4 linked regions of the Drosophila melanogaster genome follow. The main gene of each other region encodes a partner of the protein of the gene in region 4 in a complex. Each region holds a gene or a part of one and is shown on either strand. Other genes may lie near its edges.

What was found.
Region 1: MED20 (region 4) and MED21 share a complex: the UniProt entries of both Drosophila melanogaster proteins name them as parts of the mediator complex.
Region 2: MED20 (region 4) and MED24 share a complex: the UniProt entries of both Drosophila melanogaster proteins name them as parts of the mediator complex.
Region 3: MED20 (region 4) and MED1 share a complex: the UniProt entries of both Drosophila melanogaster proteins name them as parts of the mediator complex.

Annotation. Positions count from the first base shown.
Region 1 is NT_037436.4:25,114,381-25,117,749, reverse strand, and holds MED21 (mediator complex subunit 21), read left to right. Parts: upstream 1-1,803; 5' UTR 1,804-1,921; exon of another isoform or gene 1,922-2,025; 5' UTR 2,026-2,046; coding exon 2,047-2,088; intron 2,089-2,144; coding exon 2,145-2,531; 3' UTR 2,532-2,826; downstream 2,827-3,369. Other genes in the region: Set1 (SET domain containing 1), read right to left, coding at 2,853-3,026, 3,083-3,369. UniProt on the Drosophila melanogaster protein: Component of the Mediator complex, a coactivator involved in the regulated transcription of nearly all RNA polymerase II-dependent genes.
Region 2 is NT_037436.4:8,189,507-8,197,118, forward strand, and holds MED24 (mediator complex subunit 24), read left to right. Parts: upstream 1-1,763; 5' UTR 1,764-1,882; coding exon 1,883-1,972; intron 1,973-2,015; exon of another isoform or gene 2,016-2,065; coding exon of another isoform or gene 2,066-2,820; intron 2,821-2,907; coding exon of another isoform or gene 2,908-3,502; exon of another isoform or gene 3,503-3,610; intron 3,611-3,683; coding exon 3,684-3,770; intron 3,771-3,828; coding exon 3,829-3,986; intron 3,987-4,055; coding exon 4,056-4,898; intron 4,899-4,965; coding exon 4,966-5,326; intron 5,327-5,383; coding exon 5,384-6,201; intron 6,202-6,340; exon of another isoform or gene 6,341-6,344; coding exon 6,345-6,969; 3' UTR 6,970-7,067; downstream 7,068-7,612. Other genes in the region: Atg18a (Autophagy-related 18a), read left to right, coding at 336-463, 545-762; CG7387 (uncharacterized protein), read right to left, coding at 2,066-2,820, 2,908-3,502; NEDD8-conjugating enzyme UbcE2M, read right to left, coding at 7,234-7,377. UniProt on the Drosophila melanogaster protein: Component of the Mediator complex, a coactivator involved in the regulated transcription of nearly all RNA polymerase II-dependent genes.
Region 3 is NT_037436.4:21,628,438-21,636,420, reverse strand, and holds the start of MED1 (mediator complex subunit 1), read left to right. Parts: upstream 1-1,974; 5' UTR 1,975-2,125; coding exon 2,126-2,159; intron 2,160-2,224; coding exon 2,225-3,505; intron 3,506-3,581; coding exon 3,582-5,488; coding exon of another isoform or gene 5,489-5,509; exon of another isoform or gene 5,510-6,300; intron 6,301-6,507; coding exon 6,508-7,713; 3' UTR 7,714-7,983. Other genes in the region: ORMDL (orosomucoid 1-like), read right to left, coding at 299-434, 652-803, 860-1,036. UniProt on the Drosophila melanogaster protein: Component of the Mediator complex, a coactivator involved in the regulated transcription of nearly all RNA polymerase II-dependent genes.
Region 4 is NT_033779.5:8,071,267-8,074,525, reverse strand, and holds MED20 (mediator complex subunit 20), read left to right. Parts: upstream 1-1,677; 5' UTR 1,678-1,764; coding exon 1,765-2,523; coding exon of another isoform or gene 2,524-2,571; 3' UTR 2,572-2,714; downstream 2,715-3,259. Other genes in the region: Trf (TBP-related factor), read right to left, coding at 810-1,329, 1,401-1,555; poe (purity of essence), read left to right, coding at 2,960-3,078. UniProt on the Drosophila melanogaster protein: Component of the Mediator complex, a coactivator involved in the regulated transcription of nearly all RNA polymerase II-dependent genes.

The sequences.
Region 1 (3,369 bases), on a different chromosome or scaffold from region 4:
TCACACAGTTCATTACCGAAAAAAACACTGGAGTAATGCTACTATCAGAAACGCACCTCACAAATCATTCAGATGGTAAAGCTCTTGGAGGCACTGGCATACTAATCAGAAATCGCATAAAAACCACCTCAATCTACGTCCATAGTCTAACTACTCAACAATGGTTCAATGACTCTAGCCGCAGTCTACTGCCCACCACGCTATCCAATACATACTGACCAGCAGACCCAAGAAAAATCCCAGACCCAGATCACACATAGAACTAACGCCGGCATTATCTGCTAAGGAAAATATAGACAAGTCAACGGACACTGTTGAAAATATTCTAGTTTCGGGTGCAAAGTGACGTATGCCCACCAGCACTAAGAACCTTTTGTAGAGAAAAGACAGTGATGAGAAAAGAGCCAGAGCAGTTGCTGACCACTTACAAATTTTATTTCTACCAAATCCTGCTATAAAGTCATTATTCTCCCTCCTTTAGCAGAAGCAAACTTAGATTATGTGAATTAGCAAAGGTTATCAAAAAGCAACTGAAGCGATTTTGGCTTCGACCTAATAACTCAAAAAATCCTTATTGAACTCCCAGTGTGATGTTCTGCACATGTGCTTGTTGTTCAACGCAATCGCCAAGCATGGATACTTCCCTCAAAAATGGAAAAAATCTACCATAGTAATGATTCCAATGCCAGGAAAAGATAAAACGCAGCCATCATCATATAGACCGATACAGTAACTAACTTATCTCTAAAATTTATTTGAAAAAATGCTACTCCTGGGAATAAGCCCTCGTCATGGAAAAAACATGGAACCATCGAACAGGCCAATCGAATCACGTCAGAAATTCGTACTGCTTTTGAGCATCGAGAATATTACACAGCCATTTTACTAGACGTCGCGCAGGCATTTGACAGTGTTTCTGGATGGACTTTTGCTTAAACTAGCCAAGCTATTGTTCCAAAACATACATAAGCTACTGAAGTCGCAATAAGATGCAAGGAACCTTCACTGGCTCATGCTCGCTCTCCACTTAGCGTGGAGTTCAAAGCTCTCCTATACAACTCCGTCTTAAAACCAATCTGGACTTATGGCTCCGACCTGTGGGGCATCCATTCAGCGAGAACAGCCAACAATTCTGAGAATTCTGACTAGAGCGTGATACCTTCGGAACGAAGACATACACAGAGAGAAAAAAATCAAATTATTTATCGAAATAATAACTGAGAAGAAAATTAAAATACCTAGTAAAACTGACCACCCATTCAAATCCCCTCACAAGAAAACTAATCGGAGGCACAAAGTGTTCGTATCATAAAATCTTTGTTGCTTTTAAAAACCTTTAAAAAACAAGAGAGGTAGCTTTAAAATTTTTCATATGACATCTTTAAGATATGGTGAACCGATTTAGATATGTTAAAAATTAAAAGAATAATTATCGTGAAAAAGGGTACGGCTGTTCTTACTGATATTTATACCCACTTAATTGGACTGAAATGCTTTTTTCACTTCGTTGCAAGCTTATAACTGAAATCGATATACCCTCCTCAAGGATATACCAAGATTGTGTGAGAGAGGTTGCAGACTACTTGGAGACCAACTGCTTCCTTGTTATAACCGAAATTGTGATGATTTTGAACAAGACAAGAGGGATCGATGTGCAACGTGTGGTCATATATTATGGAGATTCCACTGTTTCCGACAATCTTATGGTAGTTTATATCGTTGGAATGAAGACATTATTATGGCACAGTGTGAACAAGAATAATTCGTCTCATTGAAAGAAATCACGTTTTAGTGTGGAACTCATATTAATAGCATTTCTTTTTTTAAGAGAATAGTCGCTGCTGTGAGGTATCTGTAAATAAGACATAAAATCAATCGATAAATAAATGCTTATATATTATAAAAATCACCAACGGTCATTGTATGTTGATATTATGTTGATTATGTTATGTTGATATTAAAAATGTTAATCAAAATTTGAACTGGCTAATCAAACTTAATTCCATATAATTTTTTGTTTTTCAGAATTATTAACTCTGTAGTAAAATGGCGGATCGGCTTACACAATTGCAAGACACCGTTAATCAGGTAAGTGACTTCGTATTAAGAAATAACCAGTTTTTTATGTAAAATAATCATTGCAGCAAGCGGAGCACTTCTGCAATGCTATTGGTGTAATTCAACAAACGTCCCTTCCAAGTAAATTTGTTAATTTTGAACGCATTGGACCCCAAACGCCAATCCCATGTCCGCCGCAAGAAGACTATGCCCAATTATTTGCACAGTTAATTGCACGATGTGCTAAAGACATCGACACCTTAATCGAGTCTCTTCCAAATGAAGACAGCTCCATTGAACTCCAAAATTCTAGCCTTAAGAGGCTCGAGATCGAAAACCAGGGAACTGCAAGAGACCTAGAGGAAGTAGTGCAAAAAGGCGAACTTTTGCTAGAAAAAATGCAGTATTCTTTGGAATGCATTGCTCAGGCTCAATTAGATATGCAAATAACACTCAAACATGATTTACAATAGCTGCTTAACACATTTTTGTATAAAGGCAAATTATTTTTAAATTTAAGATAATGTATTTATTGCATTTTCGTTCGTGTTTACAGATCAAATGGGTTTTAGTATATACATATTGTTTTTATAAGTAAAGTATTTTAGCTTAATTTAGACCTAAACCATTTTGAACAGCACCTCTGACCTCGTTGATATAATTTTTATAATAATTAATTATAGTTTTAAGTTATAAAAAAAACTATATATACTTACACGTACCCCACTTTGGATTTTATGAACAAATTAAATTTATGTGCTCTAAAATATTTAATTCATTGTTGTAAATAAGTATTAGTTAAGTGTACCCCGACATCCTTGGGCGCCGCATAGACAAGGTATTTTTTCGTCTTCTAGTGGAAATTTATAGTCGTAAGTTATTTCCTCGTTGATACCAATGGGTTGCTTTGAATATATTACTATCTTCTTTTCAGATTCAATAGTTATAACCTTAGCGTAGCAATTCGGCTGAAAAACAAAATTTTATGTTGGTAACATAATGTCAGAACATCCAGCTTACTTACATTGCAACTGTGATTTATAAACCGAGCTAAGTTTCCACATTTAGTTGCGTCAATTATAGTTTCCATGTCAATTCGAAACAAATAGGAACTCCCAATCCCAATTGCTTCATACTTTGTTTCTCTTAGATCAGCAACTACAGGTCGAATCATCTGACCAACATATTCAATAACCATTTCGTCTGCAGCTATGGGCTCCATTGCAAATAATCCCCAATCATGTATCGCAGATTTTGCAAACTTAAGCTGTTTCTTCCGAAACTTTAGCTGATTAAATTTTAAAAGCTCAG
Region 2 (7,612 bases), on a different chromosome or scaffold from region 4:
GTGAAAAAGCCATAAAATTCTACCTAGCTATAAAGAATTTCGAAAACTGCAATTCTATGCGAGCTTAATACCTCAGGTAGGGAATCTGAGTTCTAGATACCAATGCAGTTGTTCCGCGTAAATCATTTACACTACCTACTTTATCTGGCTTCATATGTTTGAATTTCCCTGAACTCTGTTGAAATGTAATTAATATGCTCTTTGCAAAAGTAGCCTAGTACATTTCATAAAGGTTTATAAAACAAAAATTGAATCACGTGCAAATTGAACTACAAACTGATTACCCTGCCTCTATTTCAAGTTCTAAATAACGGTTCATTCTGTTGTATTTGTAGACTTTTGATTGCCTCGCAGGATGGGTACTTGTACGTGTATTCCATTCCCACCGTCGAGGGCGCAGAGTGCCAGCTAATAAAGAGGCACGACCTGCGGCTGGAGGACCACTATGCCATGGATATCAAAGGTGCTTAACTGTTCGCTTCTCGCACACACTTCACACTTACACACATCCCAACCAAACCCACAATCGAAACAAATTCTCTAGTTGATTCACCTCAAACTCTAGGCCTTAACAGTGGCGTGAGCATTGGCGGAGCAGCTGGAGTTCCGCCGAGCAGTGCAAGTGCAGCCGGAGCAGGCACTGGTGGAAGTGGCGGTGATGGCAAGTCGGCTGTTTCTGTTACCGGTGGTGTCGACAAACCAAGTAGCTCCTATGCGTCGGCCGTGAAGGGTGACGATCCCGTGGGACCCTCATCCGCTTAGACAAGGTCAATGATCAAAAATGAGAGATGCAGCGATGGTAAACGAAACTCACTCCTCAAAGTAATAAGGACGATGATGCTAAAGTGATTACAATGATGCTTGGCGACTGGCGGCGGCGATAATGATGATGAATAAACGACGGTGGCTCTGTGGCGTCAAGCGTATTTAAGTAAATAAATAGGTCATAGACTTAATTTAGCTCTTAACGTTGTCAGCGATGATTCTTCCTCGTTTTGTACCAGCCAATATTCCTTTGTACGGCCTCTCCCTACCCAAAACATTTTTTAGTTTTAAGCCTCCGTTCCTGGCGCTGCCATTGGAATGTGAAATGCTTTTGTCATACACTCCTAAGTTAGTTGTTAATTAATAATTTAGACGGATTTACAGATTCGCTTTGATATTTGAGTTGCCAGCTTTTTATACAAAATAAACGGCCTTTGCAAATTAGTTTTTAATTTTTTTATTTTTCCAGTCCTCGCGCATCTTCCCTTGACAATCCACCGAACTCGATTTGTATGTAAAGTTCTCGCCTAGCTATTGTTTAATCATATCGAAATATCTCGGATTAAGCACATACACCACACCTATATATATATATTATATATTCAATTTAAAATTTAACATTCAGCTAGCGACACGATGAGTGAAATGAAATTCAAAAAATCGGAGCGTGCAATGGAGGAACAATTTTCGGCATATATAAATAGAATATATTTTGTACAAAGTCAAATATTTTAGAACATAATGTTTAAAATGAAAACAGTTTACAAATGAAACTCATACGCTACTTTATTGTATTCAATAAATTATTTGAATTAAAATTTGTTTGTGGGTGCCTTTTCGGTGTCTTAAAATATATTTTAATATTATTTCCTTTATTTGGCTAAATTCCTCGTTGCAAAAACAAAATTTTCAAAATATTTAAAATTGGCGACAAATTTTAAGATTGTGTGTTTTTCAACACTGTAGGATGGGAAAATTATGGTACTCTTTTGGTATGATTAATAAAAGATACCTCGGTCACACTGAGCGCTGCTAAAAAATATATTAGGTTTAAATAAAATAAATTGCGTGAAATACGAGAAAAGTAAAAGTTATATTACTTCCACGGACGCGAGAGATGAAGGAGAACAACAAGATCCTCCAACTCATCTATGTGGCGTGGCGCGAGCGCTGGACGGACTCCCAGTGGGGCATCAACATAAAAAAGGCAAGGCAACCCAAGCAAATCAACACACCAAACAATCAATGTTCGTGTTTACCAATATATTGTAAACGCAATGAGGCCGGTACATTGAGAATTTTAGTGACTCAAATTGCCCGCCTCCGTGCTCTTAGTCTTGGGCTCGAAAACCGGATCCTCTGCCTGGGACAGTGCCAAAACCAGTTGGCGTTGCTTTACGGAGAGATTCCGGGGTATACGCACCTTCAGCGTGACGATGTGGTTGCCCACGCCCTCCCTGGAGCGCACCCCCTTGCCATTGAGCACCACCTGGGTGTGGGATTGGGTGCCCGGCTCCACACGCAGCTCCACGCTTTCGTACAGACCCCGTATCTGAAAGGATCCGCCCAGAATGGCCTCCGAGATGTTTAGGTGCTTGTCGGTTAGAATGTCATTGCCAACGCGTCGGAAATAGTCGCTAGACGGCACCGACAAGCGGTAGGTGACCTGCTGCTTCGTTTCCGGATTTATAATGTTCACCACATCACCGTCCCGGGATCCGGAAGGCACCGATACCATCACATCCACATTGGACACCACGAAGCCGCGATTCGAACATGTTTCGCAGTCGTTGCGATTTGTGAATCGCTTGCCCTTGCACTGCGTGCATGTGTTCACCGATGAGAAGGTTGGCGTTTTGGTCATGACCTTTCCAGTTCCATTGCATCGCCGACAGGGTTCCTTGCCCACATCCCGATGCGCCATCAATTGTGACTTGCCCTTGCAGGTCTCGCATTTCCGCAAGTAGCGCAGCTCTATCCGCTTCTTGCATCCCACTGTCGCCTCAAGGAAGTCAAGTGGCAGATCGAACTCGTTGCTCTTCAGTTTGTTGATCTCTAGAAGGCGATTCAAGGATCGTGTTCATATCGTGATATAGTGAAAAGTGAAATGGTGTTTGATGTATCTAAAATCCGTCTGCTTACCATCATTTGTCGTCTTATCCGAATCGAACTTCTTGGCCTCCTCGAGGCCCACATTTAGGGGATTGCCCGCCTGTTCAAGAAAAGCGCGCTCATCCTTAATCCCGCCCAGCTGATCGTACTCCAAGCGCTTCGTCTCGTCGGTTAGGATGTTGTAGGCGTTGGACAGCTCCTGGAAGTGCTTCAGCTTTTGTTCCGAGTGCGTCGAGTCGGGATGATAGCGCTTGGCCAGCGCATAGAAAGCCGATCTGATTTGCTGGATGGTGGCGTGCCTGTTGACGCCTAACACTTTGTAGTAGTAGTCCTTGGGCATGCCTCGGCTTTGCGGGTACTTAACAGCCGGAGATGACACCTGTTGAGGCGTGGCTCCCGCTGACGTTCGCTTCGCCTCCCGCTGGCGATCTGGATAGTAGGCTGGTTTCGTGGTCCTGAACTGATATTGACTGATCATCCGCATACAGATCCAGCAGGCAGCGACAGCGGGAGCGCGATCCAACTCCAAACAATGTGACGTCTTCCTGCAGCAATCCGTTGCAGCTCCGCTAATTAAAGTGCTTAATACGTCTCCAGGACTGCGAAATAATTTTAAACGAAACATTTTTTATCGCGTAACGAAATATGCAACTATGTGTGCTAACTATATAAGTGGAAATCCTAACTAGATTTTTAAGTGGTTCTGTTTCTGTTTATTTTATGGGGTTGTGACCCAGATATTGTGTTAAAGTTTGACAGGAAAAGAAAATGTTTCATTATTGTCTTTCCCTTGATTACTATTTCAGGTGCTGCCGAGAGGAGTCAGTGGAGATGTATACAATCTGGCTGACTGTCTGATGCAGCAGGCACTCATTGGTTCCACGGCTAATCCGGTGAGTAGTTGATCTGAGTATTTAGATTGTTTTCTAAATTGTAATCTATGCTTTTCAGTTGGTTCTTAACTACCTGAAGCATTCACTGTGCGCCCATCTCGTTTCTCACGCTGCTGTTATTCGGTGCATTGCCAAATATGACAAATTAGAGCGCGTTTATTGCATTACAGCGCTCCTTGAATTCCTGGCCAGCATCGTGGATGGCGTTACCTGCCGGTAAGTCCTTTTAGTTTTATAAGTCGTTAAAAAGCAGGAGTAAAAATAATTGTTCATTTCTATTTCCAGAATAAAATCTGAGGAAGCGGTTTTACCGAGTTCCGTCGTCCACTTGGTGTACTGGCTGCTTCAAATCTTCGCCAGAACTGTGCAGCACTATGAACTGTATGGTGAGATTAGTGCTGAGCAATCATACATGCTGGACCAGACCTGCGTGGTGATAGATCGGCTTAGCCAGCAGCAGTTCCTGCTGTCTATGCTGTACGTGGGCTGTCACGAAGAGCTCGAAATATGTGGACGGATTCGGGATAAGTACGCTACCATCAAGGGATCGTTGACGAACTCAAACTTTACGCTAAATGCACCACAAGTGGAGCAGCAATTGCAGCAGTTGGCCTTTATAGAAGCCAAGCATCTTGAAATGCAACCACTTAATCCGCCGTCAACACTCGAGAAGATCTCGTGCTGCGTGCAACCCTTACTGGCGGTGGAAGTGCTTCTCAATCCGTGCAAGGACACCAGCTACTACGTGGCTGAGTTGCAGATGCTGCAACGATTAAAGAAATACTCCAATACACGGCTCTTCTACGAAATCATCCGTGCTGGATTCCTCACGCTGAGCAATGTTGCGGATACAAGTCCTGACACTATGTGGGGTGCCTTTATGTTCTTTAAAATGCCGCACATCATTAAGCAATTGCACGCCCTGCAACGGATTCCCGGGGAGCAACCACCACCGGCCGATTACATACCCGAGTTGGTGGAGGCTTTGGAATTGCTCATCGAGGACAATCTGCTGCTAGACTTCATGGATACTAAGTGCTCATGCAATATGATCGAGTTCCTTTTGAATGACTGGACCAAGCAACAACTAGTCAATGATGTCCACGTAAAGAAGTTCGCCAGTCAAAGGTTAGTCGAGAAATCATGCATTTTGTACACCCATCTTAATTATATAATTTAAAACGAACTCTTTCAGGGAAGCCGCCTCTCAATTACTCAAAAAATGCGACAATGGCCAACAGACACCCTCCAATATAAACTTCATCAAGCGCGCAGAGGTTCCGCTTTCCGGAGTACTAAAAACGCTGTGCACCAACAAGGTCCAGGACATGGTTAATGTCCTTTGCCAAGTGCCGGTGGGCAACAGCTTCGAGTTGATTCTTTCAGTGGCTACCGTCGAGGGACGCCTCAAGACATTCGTATCGCGTCTGATCCAGTGCAATGAGAACTCCAAGCCGGTGCCGGGCGACCTGGGCAAGCTATGCGTCATCCGGTCCACTCTGTTTGATGTTTCCTTCCTAATGTTGACAAGCATTGTGCAGACCTATGGATCCGATGTTCGTAAACCCGCCTGTTATTACGCTGCAATTTTAATGAATTCTATTTTACTTCAGGTGGTCTTATCTGAGCGTGGTGACTCATTTTTTGAAAAATGGGTGCGTGAGTGCATGGTGGAAAGGAATAAGCTTAAGAATCCGCGTCAAATTCTTGCCCTCTGTGATGACAGTATTGTCGACGAGCTTTTGCTTAGCTTCAGTAAACCAGAGGCATCACAACTTAAGCCAAACAACTTAAGTTGGCAGGAGACTTGCCTTAATCTGCCCGGAGTGCTTCATCATGTGCTAATAGCTTGGGAGCAGGAAACGCTATCCTCGGCGGACGTTAAAAGTATTCTGGACAATATTAAGAGAAGACTTTTCAGTTTTTCCGTTTGCGCCACTAGTTTTCTATGCGCCTACATGTATTCGGTGAAGGAAACGGAACTTCTGAAACCACTAAACATGATTCAGCAGTTCCTGGCTCCGTTGACCAGCGAAGAGCTTTCCAGCCAGGAAAATGCCAAGGAGCGACTAGCTCTCTCCTATCAGATTATCAGAAAAATGCAACACGATGTGCATCCTGCCCCAAGTACCAAGTCCCGCCTCATTTCACATTCCCCGCTAGTCGAGCAGTTTCGGGAGGTGTGGCGAACAGTAGTCGATGCTGGTCACCTGCCCGTTCGCGCCGCTCAGTCGTTGGAGTCGCTTCTGCTAGCCGGTGGCGCGGCGTGGCTGTCCACGCAGTTGGTGGAGCAACTGCTGGCCTGCAAGTACACAAGGGATATGTCGCGAACCATGGACGTTGTGTTTGCCGTAATGCATCTCGACATTGAGAAGACCACTGAGGCGTTGCTCCAGTACGTGGTGGCTCCACTGATACTGCGACGACAAGGGTAAATACCAATATTTTCTTCTGTATATTATTTCATTTATTTATTATCTACAAATCGAATCGATTTAGCAAGAAAGGATGTAAAAATTGAAACTGCTATGATAGAACTCGTACTCACAATTTGGCAATCTTTTTTTTTTCTAGTGAGGACATTAATGAGCCCCAATCCCTGGTACTGGCCCGCCTCTGTGTTTACTGTATTATTTCCTGCCTGGAGAGCCGCAAAGGAAATGGCACTTCCGCTTTGACGGCCATGAAGAAGCGATCGAGATCTCACGATGACGAGGAACTGGCGGCCAATGCAGCCAAAGTGCGCAAGGTGATTGGCGATGGCAGCGACAACTCAAGCGACTTTACGGACACTACGACCGGAGCTGGCCTGGCAGCATTATTGGGCTCCACTTCCACATCTGAACTGCGGACTACGCCGCTTACTCTAAGAGAACCACTGCAGACGAGCGTGCAGCACATTTTCGCAGTGTTCCTGCAGTTTGTCAGTGGAGATGAACTGTCGCCCAAGGCCGTTTTTGTTTATCAGTTCATTTCGCTGCTGGTGGAATGCGGTGGTGAGAGGGTCGCTCCCGTCCTGCGCTTGCTGCCCAACGGCCTGGTGCAACAGCTCCTGAAAGTTTTGGTCACCGACGACATAAAAGTGGGTCTCATCAGCAGACTATACGATCTGCGAATCCAGGCAGGAAGACTGTCCGCTGTGTCTGATCTTTGCCTGTGGCGAAATATGCAGATGGCCAGGCACAGCATTCATCTGTGAGGGATTTGGATGATTGCCACATTGGGTATGCCGATTATGATTAAGAGACGGGTGGGCGAAATTGCTAAATGAATTGTATTAAAAACTAGAAATTGGTGACTTGACTCGGCTTCTTCTTTGCACGCAGTGGATTTTGTTTTCGTTTATTACAATAATTTGTTGTCGCCGATGTTCGTCTGTGTTTTGCTTCATCTTCTTCAGTTAGCGGGTGTAGGGGGAGGTGTATGGACAGGCTTAAAGTAAGAGACCTTGCGATTCCCTATATCACTTGAGCAGACAGCACTCGAAGTAGGTCTCGCCCACACAGCCACCACGCATCGCCTTCTTTACATTGTTCTCGAACTGACGGCGGTTGGTCTGCAGGACGTCGGCCGCCTCCTTGTTGAGCGGATCCTCGGGATTGGGTTCCTGGAAGCAGTTAATTTGGATTAGTAATACTGTTGGCTTGGGTAATAACAAAAATAGAAATAATGATCGTTAAGTGGTATAAACAAACATTTATATTGAATTGTTTCAGTGGGCGTTCAATTAAGCACACTTAGAAATCAATTGTTCACAAAACAAGACATAAAAAATCAATTGTAACTTGAAAACTGTGGCTGTTGATCAAGACTTATGGAACAAAGCGTATAGCCTCTAAAAT
Region 3 (7,983 bases), on a different chromosome or scaffold from region 4:
TCAAGTTTAATCCTTTGGGCTAAAGAACTACATCATGGTTCTACTTAATCGTCTGACATAATGGGTTATAAAATATCTCATGTGCTGGCCCCCAAATACATCTTTTAGATGATTTGTAGTTTCCATGATCAATAATTATTTATGCAATAAAAATCGAAACGCGATTTTTAGAATTATTTAATTTGATAAATATTTTATTTAGCAATATTTACATTTTTGAGCAAGAGCTGTGCCATCAATATAAGTTTGTATGTACATTTTCATTAAACAAAATAAATGCGGCCCGTTCTCACAGGAGCTAGTACTTGTTAATGTTGAACAGCCGCACGCCGTGGAACTGCGGCAGCTTGGGAAGCGTGACGACCACCAGGGATATAAAGTTTGGGATAAAGTGTTCCGTGTTGTTTCGGGTGTACAGACAGGTAAGTAGGAAACTATAAAAAAATCAATTATTTCATGAGTTTCTATGTTAGGCATTATATGGTAGCAATTACATTACTAGTTCAATTAAACTGCAGTACATAAAAAGTATTTATTGAAATACTTTGATCAACATTAAAACAAGTTTAGAATTTAAGTCTTCATTTAGTTTTAATTTTTTTAAATAAAAACCCACCTATATTGGCCGACTTTCAGTACGTATTCACTTACAGAACAATGGGAACAGCTGTGAGGAACTTGCGCGTTGTGGTCATCTGTACCCCGTCATCGATCTGTTCCCAGTGCGTCCAACGCCGGCTGGGATCGTTCTCCGTGCTCAGCCAGGGAGCGCCCTTGATGACGTGCAGAAAGTACAGGTGGGCCTGGCAAGAGGGATTAGGATAAGGACTGACTCCTCAACGGCGCCATGAGCACTCACTGCATTGTGAAGCAGGTTGGTAGCCGTCCAGGCCCATGGAATGCTAACGAAGGGCACTGATAAGAAGAGCAGGTGCACCGACAGCAGGCCCAGGAGGTATGCTAGCCAAAATCCCCGGGCACTCAGCCAGGAGCTGTTTGGATTCGCCTCGCCGTGGCCTCCCGCAATGGACGTCATGTGGCTGAATTGTTAACCTTTGGTTCCGAAACACTTTAATAACAAATATTTATCATTTACGCTCAATGTGACCGCGCATGCATACAAATATCGCTCTGCACTTTGATGATAATAAATATACCAAAATAATTTAGAGAAAACAGAAATTTGAAATACTTTAAATGTTTAATAAAATTTGAATTTAAGCTTTTGCAATTTTCTATGAAATATAACATCTACCTTTAGTAAAGGTTATGACTACTTTTGATTTGTCGGACCAAACCTATATTCAATATAATCCGTATATCTGTCGTAGTTTAGGTAAGTACGAGGAAGAGAGGAACGCTTAAGACTTATCATGAATTTAGCGAAATAAAATTTGTTTAAGTCGTAAGCTGTATTTGTTTACTTATTTGATTAGTCCTTAAAGTTTTTTTTAGCTGATATTTATTTTTATAGGATTATAGTTTCTTTCAAATCTCAAGAAACTTTAAATAATCATTTTCGGTTTCTTGGAACAGAAACCCCAAATTAAACTTTATGCCAATAAGACATTTAGAAATCATTGGAAATTTTAAATAAATATTAAATCATCGGTATTAAATTATGAGGCCTGTAATTTATTTTTTAACGAAAGAATGTTTGAGCTTTTCTGTTCATTACAATACCCTTGTAGCTTAAGAGAAAATTCGAGTAGGAAATGAGGCACAATTACATCATAAAAAATAGAATGTAAAAGTACCAGAAGGATGTATAGAATATAGATGTTAATTGCTTCATTATATTTACCCCTCATACTAAAAAATATAACATACATAATTGAACAGGCAATTGATACAAGCTTTGAATCAGAATACATCGAATATCAAATGACGCAGTGGAAATATCATAGTTCCGTTTTATATTCCAGTATTTTATTATAGCGTGACCAGCCACTGTGAAGGATCAGCCATTTTGTTGTTTTGGCGTTGAAATTTTTTTGCCATGATGAAGGCATAGAAAAAAGGTTCTGAGCTATTTAGATCGAGAACTTTTTCATTTGCCGCAATTCTTTGTCAAAAATGCCACAGCATCATTAAGTAAATACAGTTTACTTAGGAACGCATAGATATGAGCGGATCCAATGCAAAGTCCTCGGGGACTGGTAAGTACTAATATATACCCCCATAACTAAGATGTCCGGAGCACCACTGACACAAATCTGCACAGGCTTCGGCAGCCACATTCCCAGCATCGAGGAAAAGAACAAGCAGATCCAGCAGGAAACCATGATGGAGAAGCTGCGGGCCAAGTACCGGAACAAGCCAAAGAGCTACGAGGAGATCAAGAAGTCGGTGCGTATGTACTTTATCGAGAAGCACTACCCTCTGGACCCCCTGTGCAAGGCCACGCTGCAGTCGGCGCTGGACAAGTTGCAGCACTACATCAAGGTCACGTCACGCCACGGCCTTGTGGAGCGTTTGGAGAGCCTCTCGCGCCAGTTGGGCCTCAAGTTCATGGAGGACCAGCAGCTTCTCTTCATATCAACGGACATGTTCTACGTAGAGATCCTGCTGGACGCCGCCGGCAGTCTGTCGGACGTCAAGGTGCACCACGAGTGCAAGATCGAGCAACAGTCCAGCGAGCTAGTGGCCTGCCTCAAGTCTGGCGACTTTGCAGACTTTACGGTTCAACTCGAGGGTCTGTCCTCCATTTACCAGCTGAATGCCGAGCCCAAGGTGAAAAAGAAGGCGTTTGTAGCGCTTCAGGCCATGGAGACGGATATCCAGAGCCTATACCAACTGCACCTGCAAGGTCACTCCGGAGACAGCTACTCACTTATGACAAGTTCATCGGTGGGTCTTGTGCTGCCCCGTCGCGGTGGCCATCCTATGAGGCTTACTTATTTCTGCCCGCCGCTCCACCTTCCCGAAGGGGATCCCAAACTGGCCAGCGGCGATTTCACCATCGACCAGGTAATGCGAAGCAGCTACGGACTGAGTGCCACTATCAATCTCGAAGGCTCATCAGCCAACAAACTGCAGACTTTGCCAACGGTGACTTTGGTCCGCGATGCCCAAACGGGGTTGGAGGTTCCCACCTATGCCCAACTTAACCAGAACAACTCGCTGCTGATGCCGGCCACGTTTGTGCTTCGGCTGAACAAACCCATGCCTGTTTGCCTGGAATCACTAAAGGCTCTCGGTCTGCCCGGTCTAGACTCAGTTGCCACTCCTCCTGGTCCGCCCACCACAGTGCTTAATCTCATAGTACAAACTGCATCGAAGCAGGCCATTAAGAACACACAGCGCGGCCTGTATGTGAATTTACCTAAAGAGACGCACTGCTATTTCTTTACCGACAACCGCAAACTGCAGGGAACTCTGGTGTCATCACTGCCCTTCACTGAACCCGCCCAGGTTCCGCGAATCGTGGCGTTCCTCAAGAAACAAGCTCTCTTCTACACCCTGCTCGCAAGCTGTGTTCGTGAGCAGCAGAAGCAGTATAATGGTGAGTTGGGTGCTCCACTTCCCCCCACATTCCTGTTTTATGATAATAATATTTTTTTTATGCTCATTCGTCCCAGATATGGACAGCACTGTGATACTGGAGGTAACCGCCGTTTCATTTAATCAAATCACGGTTGAGCTGCAGCACCCGTACGAAGAGTCGCTGGCCACTGTGGATTTTCTGCTTGAGGATGGTCAGCCCACGTGCAGCGTTTACTGTCTGACCAACGAATACGAGCTGCTGTCCCAGAAGTTAACCCGCACCGCGCGCAAAGTGGTATCCATTCCGATGGTAATCTACAAGTTGCTTAAGTGCTGGGATGAGGAGCACGAATTCAAACTGCATGGCGCGATTGGACCTGGATCTGGTTCTGGAGCAATCGGAGGTGGAGGCATGAGTGGTGGTGGACCTGTCTCAGGAGTAGGCAATAACTTTAGCCAGTTTTCAATGGATACGCCGACGCCTTCCGATGGAAGCCTACCCGGAGGTGGCTTCGCCAACATTAACAACCTTAAAATGGATGCGAAGTCGCGATCTCTAGCGGATGCTTTTGCCGCTTCTACTTCGGCAGCAGCGGCCATAGCGGGTTTGATCAATCTTAAGCGGGAAACCGATCCACAGTCTGGTAGTTCGGCCAGTGGCACCACGGTCAGCGGCAGCTCCAGCTCATCCGGCTCCGCCAAGACGAGTGACCATGACATTGCTGACAAGTACAAAAATATCTGGAAGGACAAGACTCCAAATTTGAAGCATTGCGTCAGCATCACCCCCATCCCAGGAGATGGAAAGTCTGGATCAGCTGGGGGAGTGTCCGGGGTCGAGGTACAGCGAACGGGTGGTATCGAAATTATTCCATTGAATGCCCAGGCGGCTATAGCCGGAGGAGGTGTTACAGCCTCATCCAGTGCCACTCCCACGACTATAACTATTACCCCAATAACTGGCAAGGATCCCAGTAAGGACTCAACCAAAAAAAGTACCGCTGCTTCAGCTGGAGTAGGTGTGGCCGCAAAGCGTCCCCACGAAAGTAGCACAAGTAGTTCGTCTACGTCCGGTTGTAGTGGTTCTGGCAGCTCCATGTCGTCTTCAGCCAGCAGCGGCTCTTCAGATACGCAGAAGGAAAAGAAGCGCAAGAAAAAGCGCGACGATTCGCCCATGGGACCGCCGGAGAAGATCTATTCTAGGCAAAACTCGCCTGCAGGTGGCGCAGATGCTTCCGCAACTGGTGGAGTGGTTCGCAAGTTTTCCTCTCCCTCGTCGTCACCCAAAGCTGGTGGCGGTGGACAGGGTCTAATGGCCGGAGTGCCGACTGCCCGTCCCAGCCCCAAGCACTCTCCCGTGTATAGCAGTCCCAAGCACAACACCGCCTCCAACAGCCCGAAGTCGCCGTTTGGCACACACTCACCCAAACACGGCTCTTCCGGAAAGCCGAGCATGTCAACGCTTAAAAGTGCAGCTACAGCTGCCACCATCTTAAGTCCCAAGGGCGATAAGTCCTCGTCAGCTGTGGGTAACACATCTTCGGGACCATCCGCCTCCTCAGGATCCAGCGGAGCTACTGGCCTGGTGAGGTCATTTGCCAGCGTTGGAGCTCCGCCTCCACCACCTCCAATTCCTCCATTAGCGAGCTCGAGCGGATCTATCAGCAGCAGCCAGAGTTTAAAGAAGGAGAAAACCTCTTCGGCATCCGGTTCCAGTTCCACATCATCCTCGGCAACTGCAGGTGTCGCATCTGGCGGAGGTATTTCACCGGCAAGTGTGGCTGCTGCAGTAGCTGCCCTGAAATCCTCACAACAGCAGATGAAGTCAGTCGCCAGTCTTTCGCATCTGGCGGCGGGCGGGGGACTGGGTAGCTATGCGGCCCCGTCGGGAGCGGGAGCATCTGGTGCAGCCGCAGTGGTGGTGGGAGCAGGAGCTGGCGCTGGAGCGGGGGCCTCCGGACTGGAGCTGAGTGCCCTGCGCAAGGGCATGGCGGGAGGTGCGGTAAGTCCGTTTTCATTATAAGTGCTCCACTCCACACCACACCAACCCACCCCCAGCATCTCCCACTGGAAGCCTAACACGTAGTTGACTCTCTGCCACCTCTCCTAACCAATGCAGAATCAAACTCAGAGCGAACCTATCTTTAAACTAATGCAAATGCTGTATTTACTTTAGCTATAAAACGATTTGTAATTTGCCTACCTCTGCTGTAGTTGAAAATGATTATATTTAGTACTATGATTATTATTTTTGTTAGTGTTTCGTTTTGCCTTTTCTAATTTTTGTAAATACATATGATTCAATTATTTGTCATATATACTGCTGCATCCGTTTTATTTTCGACCAAACCCAAAACTCGTATGGTAATGGGGCTTATCCCCAAAACACCAGCTTAAACCTCTTTTTCTGCATTGAGAACGTATGTTTTTATTATTAGTTAATCTGTTTGATTTGTATAGTTGTTTGGCCAGCATGTGGCATGTAGAAAACCATGGCGTACTGGTTCACCAAGTTTATAGTGTCTACAGTATTGCTGGATTTATAAGAATGTGTATGCATATGACTTTTAAGCTTTGTTAAGAACATCAGTAAATAATGTGTAAATTAGTAGTGCTTGGCATCTTGACTCTACGAGTATTATAATTTGATTGTTTCCCCTTTTCTAGATTTAGTTACAAGAGTTCCTTCTCACTTAAATATTTACTACGTTTAAAATTAGTGTTTAATGTGCTTATGATGTACACTTTGAAAGTAGCTCCACAAGCGTTTGCCTCATACATTTTCTCCTCAAAAATATATTTCGTATCCGACTTAACTATAAAGCTAATTATTAACGGGGTCCATTCTTCTTTCTTCCTGTTTGTATTCCCTTCCTACACTACCAATGGTTGTGAAATCCCACAATTTTTTCTTTTGCTACACGTGATGTTCCCCTTTTTGATTGTTATAATTTCTTTTCTGGTTTATTTTTGGTTTCTTTGGTCCCTAACACACACACAACCACATGCTTACTTTGTCAGGTTAGTTTGATGACGTCGACGGCAGCTTTAGCGCCAACAATTCCGGCACCAACAACAACAGTGGCAGCGGGCTCGGCAGCGTCATTGGTGTCTCCAGTCTCAGCGGTAGTGGGTCAGGGGCAGGAAACAGCGGGAGCAGCGGCAGCAGCAACGCTGGCAACAGCAACAATTCTGCAGCAGCAGCCACAGCCGGGAGCAGCGCCAACTAGTAGCTGCTTAACCACCAGCGGGGGCAGCAGCGACTCCGCCGGGAGCATCAATCCGGCCGGAGCCTCCACGGAATACATGGTGAAGCCCAGCAGCCAAGAGGGCCTCAAGCTGACCATCAACAAGACGGGAAGCAGCAAGAGCTCCGGCACCGGCTCCGGCTCTAGTTCCTCCTCTGGCCTCCAAGCGAAGGCAAAGAGCAGCAGCAGCGGCGCCACGAGCTTCGCTGGGTCCACTGGATCCACGAAGAAGCAGCATACCGGACTCAAGCCGGGCGTTAACAGCGGACCCGCTTCCAAGAAGGCCACCGCAGCGGTCTCGTCCGCCACGGCATCATCCAGCAAGCATTTCTTCCAGAAGGCAAACTCCTCGGGCAATCTCAGCAGCAAGCTCAGTGGGTCGGGATCAGGTGGCGGAATTCCGCTGACTAAGAGCAACAGCACTAACTCCTTCCAAGAGCACAATGCCCCCAGGCGGCGTCCCAGCATGGGAGCCTTGGCTAGCGGCAGCAGTGGAGGAGGCAGCGGGCAGCGAAAGTTAGGCTCCGCTTCGGGAGGAGGCAGCGGATCTTCGGGGTCGGTATCGCCGGCCCTTAGCGGCTCAATGTCGCAGCCACCGCCGCGATTCGATCACCACACGGATATGATGACCATCCTCCAATACGCTTCTCCGACAATGGCCGCAAGCATGGAAGGCTTCATCAAGGGGCTCCACAACAAATTCCAGATCCCAAAGTTATCGCAGAGAGGAAGCGGAGGCAATACAACCAGTGGACGCAGCACGCCAAGTGGCAGTTCAGAACCGGCTTTAGCGGGAACATCATCTTCGATATTAGGACCTATTGCCAGCTCTACTGGACTGACGGAGCCGGAAGCGAAGCCGCCGGTGCCTCCTTCGCAGTCTGGCAATGAAGGACTGCTCAATCTTAGCAGCACGGCGGGTACACCATCGGCGGATGGGATAGATGAGGAGCTTTTGGCTAGCCTGGCTGGCGAATGACAGAAGAAAGACAGCCGTCATGAGATATTCCTGTTGCTCTATGCGATTTTCTCTTAAAGCTAGCATAGTGAGTTAGTTTAAAGCCATTAGTTACACGATTTTGTTTTATGATGCATAGAAACTAAGGATCTTATTAGGCAATTTCTTAACTTTATTGGCAGAAAAATGATTTAAAACTCCAAAGGAAATAAATAAAATTTTACAACACGATGGCGAATTTGGTACAAAATCTCAGAGATTATTCCCGATTCTGTTAAGTCGATCAAACCG
Region 4 (3,259 bases):
ATTTTAGAAATCATTAGCGAATGTATCTTGACAAAAGTTTGCAAGCATATCGAATGGAAATTTATCTAATTTGTATTATCTAACTCTTGAATACATTTTTAAACGAAATGAAGTGAAAATCGTTGAAGAAACCGTCCAATTAATTTATGCAAATAATGAATCTGCATAGTTTGTAAGTTTTATACGTATATACGCCTTCATATGAACCACAATTAGTTTATAAATTCCCAACACAAATCTCACATAGCCATGTACATGAAGCTACTAAGCGAGAAACAAGGAAATTTTTGTACACAACTTAAGAATGTCGCTCCTTTCCGTACCATAAGAATCGAATCGAATCTCTATGAAGTGTCTTGTGTTTTCTTTTGTAATAAACGAAACCTGAAAATAAATAAAAGTAATGTTTATCCAAATGTGTTTTCTTTTCATGGAATGTGTTGGTACACTTCAGAATTTGTGGATTTGAATATTTTTCCCAAATTCCAGGAATGGGTACAAAAATGTATAAAAATTCAAATTACTTACAAATTTATTATTAATTCAAAGAATAGAATGAAATGGATTACAAGACATTAATATATAAAAATTTATTTAAAATAACAACAGTTTTTTTTAAATAAAAATTAATTTGCTTAGTAAGGCCAAAATAAAATCTTACAATTTCTATGAATTTACCCATGGAAATTATTAATTAAGTTGTTTCATTTCACATTTTATACTAAAAAAGTTAAGGTAAATATATTAAAAATATTGTAGTTATGGAATATAACTAAGCTAAACAAAAACATTTGGATGTGTAGAAACAACTACGTCTTGCGAAAACTTAGTAAAATAGGTGATATCGCCTCCAGGCAGTCCATAATGTCCTTGCGCGACTTGGCGCCCGTAAATACAACCTTTCCGTTGACGAAGATCAGGAGAACGATGCGCGGCTTGACCATGCGATAGATTAGGCCTGGAAACATCTCCGGTTCGTAGGAACTAAACTGCCCGTGCACGTGGTTGAGGTTCTCCAGGCGGATGGGGAAGCGCAGATCAACGGTGGCCACAATATTCTGCAGCTTGTATTCCATGAACTTTACGGGGAATCCCAGCTTCTGCAGGATGCGTGCGAACTTTCGCGATCCAATGTCCGCCTCAATCTCGTTTCGTGCACCCGTGCAGATGACCTTGCCCGTTCGAAAGATTAGCGCTGTGCACCTGGGCGAGTGCATTCGCATGATGACGCCACGAAAGCGCTTGGGCGAGTACTCCGAGTTCCTCGTACGCGAGTTGATTGCCTTGAGGTCCAGTTCACAGTTCACCGAGAAGGTGGCCACGATATTCCTGCAAGTTATGGATGTATCAATGGGTTTCTATTTATTTCATGAAGTGCCTCTGAAAAGTGGTCAACCAACTGCAATCGTATCTCATGTTGTGCATCCTTGGGCTCCACCAGGGCAACGGGCTGTTGCGGCTGCAGGGCTGCGTGCGGATTGGCGGCAGCATTGCTGGTCGCAGCCACATTATCCCTGTCCCTTTCAGCGTCCGCGACTTTAAAGTGAAACTGCATTGCCGAAAATTATAAACAAATCCGCACGCGACGTGGCCAGTGTTGTCCTATTTTATTGCTGACGAAAATTGTATGCCGGTTTGGTATTTTTATTTGTCTAACTTTTCTCATGACTAAAAAGTCAGCACTGGTCACACTGGACGCTTTTAGCTTGCAAGACTTGTAAACAAAATTAATAAAACTAAAAAGCTGACATTATTGCATAAACTATGGGAGTAACTATCCTTCAACCGTATCCCTTACCCGAAGGCAAATCGGGTGCCCACATAATCGATCAGCTGAGCAAGCGTCTGCTCGCCCTGGGCGCCACACATGCCGGTCAATTTCTGGTGGACTGCGAAACGTTCATCTCGACGCCACAGCCGCACAATGGAGCACCTGGACGCGCAGTCCACGTCCTGCACAACTCCGAGTATCCCGCCTCCACGTTCTCGATCATCGACAATGGCACCGGCAAACAAGTGGCCATTGTCGCCGACAATATCTTCGATCTGCTCATGCTCAAGATGACCAACACCTTCACCTCCAAAAAGCAGACCAAAATCGAGTCCCGTGGCGCTCGTTTCGAGTATGGTGACTTTGTTATCAAACTCGGTTCCGTCACCATGATGGAGCACTTCAAGGGCATCCTCATCGAAATCGAGTACAAGTCATGCGTGATTCTGGCCTACTGCTGGGAAATGATACGCGAAATGCTGCAGGGATTCCTCGGCATTGCTGTGAATAAGGACTTTCCCTCCTATTTCGCTCCACAGACAATAATGACGGCAATGGGGCAACAGCAGCTGCATGCCAAGCACAACGACATCTTTGAGCCAATGGACACCGTGAAACAATACCTGGAGCAGTTCACCAACTATAGGAAGCATGTGACTCTTATGGGCGGTATGGGCAGTGGACCGGGTAGCCAACAGGTTGGTCCGAACGTGCATATGTCGCCGGCGGTGGCGGGACTACATCGATCCTGATCCGCCGACGTCAAGCTGGAGCCACCGGATGAGCCTGCAGCCGATTAAGATGTTTAGAAGATAATTTAAACAAAAAAAATATACATATGTCACTAATATTTAATAATTAAATAATCATTATTTTAAAGCTAGCATCACTAGTTTGCTTTACATATTTTAGACGAATAAACAAAACATTTATTAGCTTGTCCAAATACGTTTAAAATATTATAGTTATATATATATATATATATATATTTTGTGCAGTGTACAGTTTTTTTCATATATTGGTTATTCACTACTTTTTTATGTATTTTTAAAACAGCTGATTGGAATAATGATTAAAGCTGTGTGGTATCCCTGCTCGCACGGCATTTTACCGTTAATGAAATCTGGCCACACAGTAGGCCGAGTACTCAGTACTATCGGGCAAATTGACGAGATTATTTAAACAATAATGTCGGCCCACAGCGGCGGAACGGATTGGAATTCCGTTGTTAAAGCCCTGATACTTAACCGTACAGGAGCCTTAAACAAGAACGAAGTTGTTAATTTGCTCAAAGCTATCACGCGATGGTAAGTACAAACGATCATCTAGAACTTTTCGCCTACCGAATGGCGTAGTGAAAAATTTTCTGCTAGTGCAAAAAGTGACTTGCAAAATTAAATATGGCCGCTCCGGTGACGAAATAGCAAAAAGCTTTGAAAATTCTTTAATATCGAGAACTAACAACGCTCTATTCCGATATTTGCATAG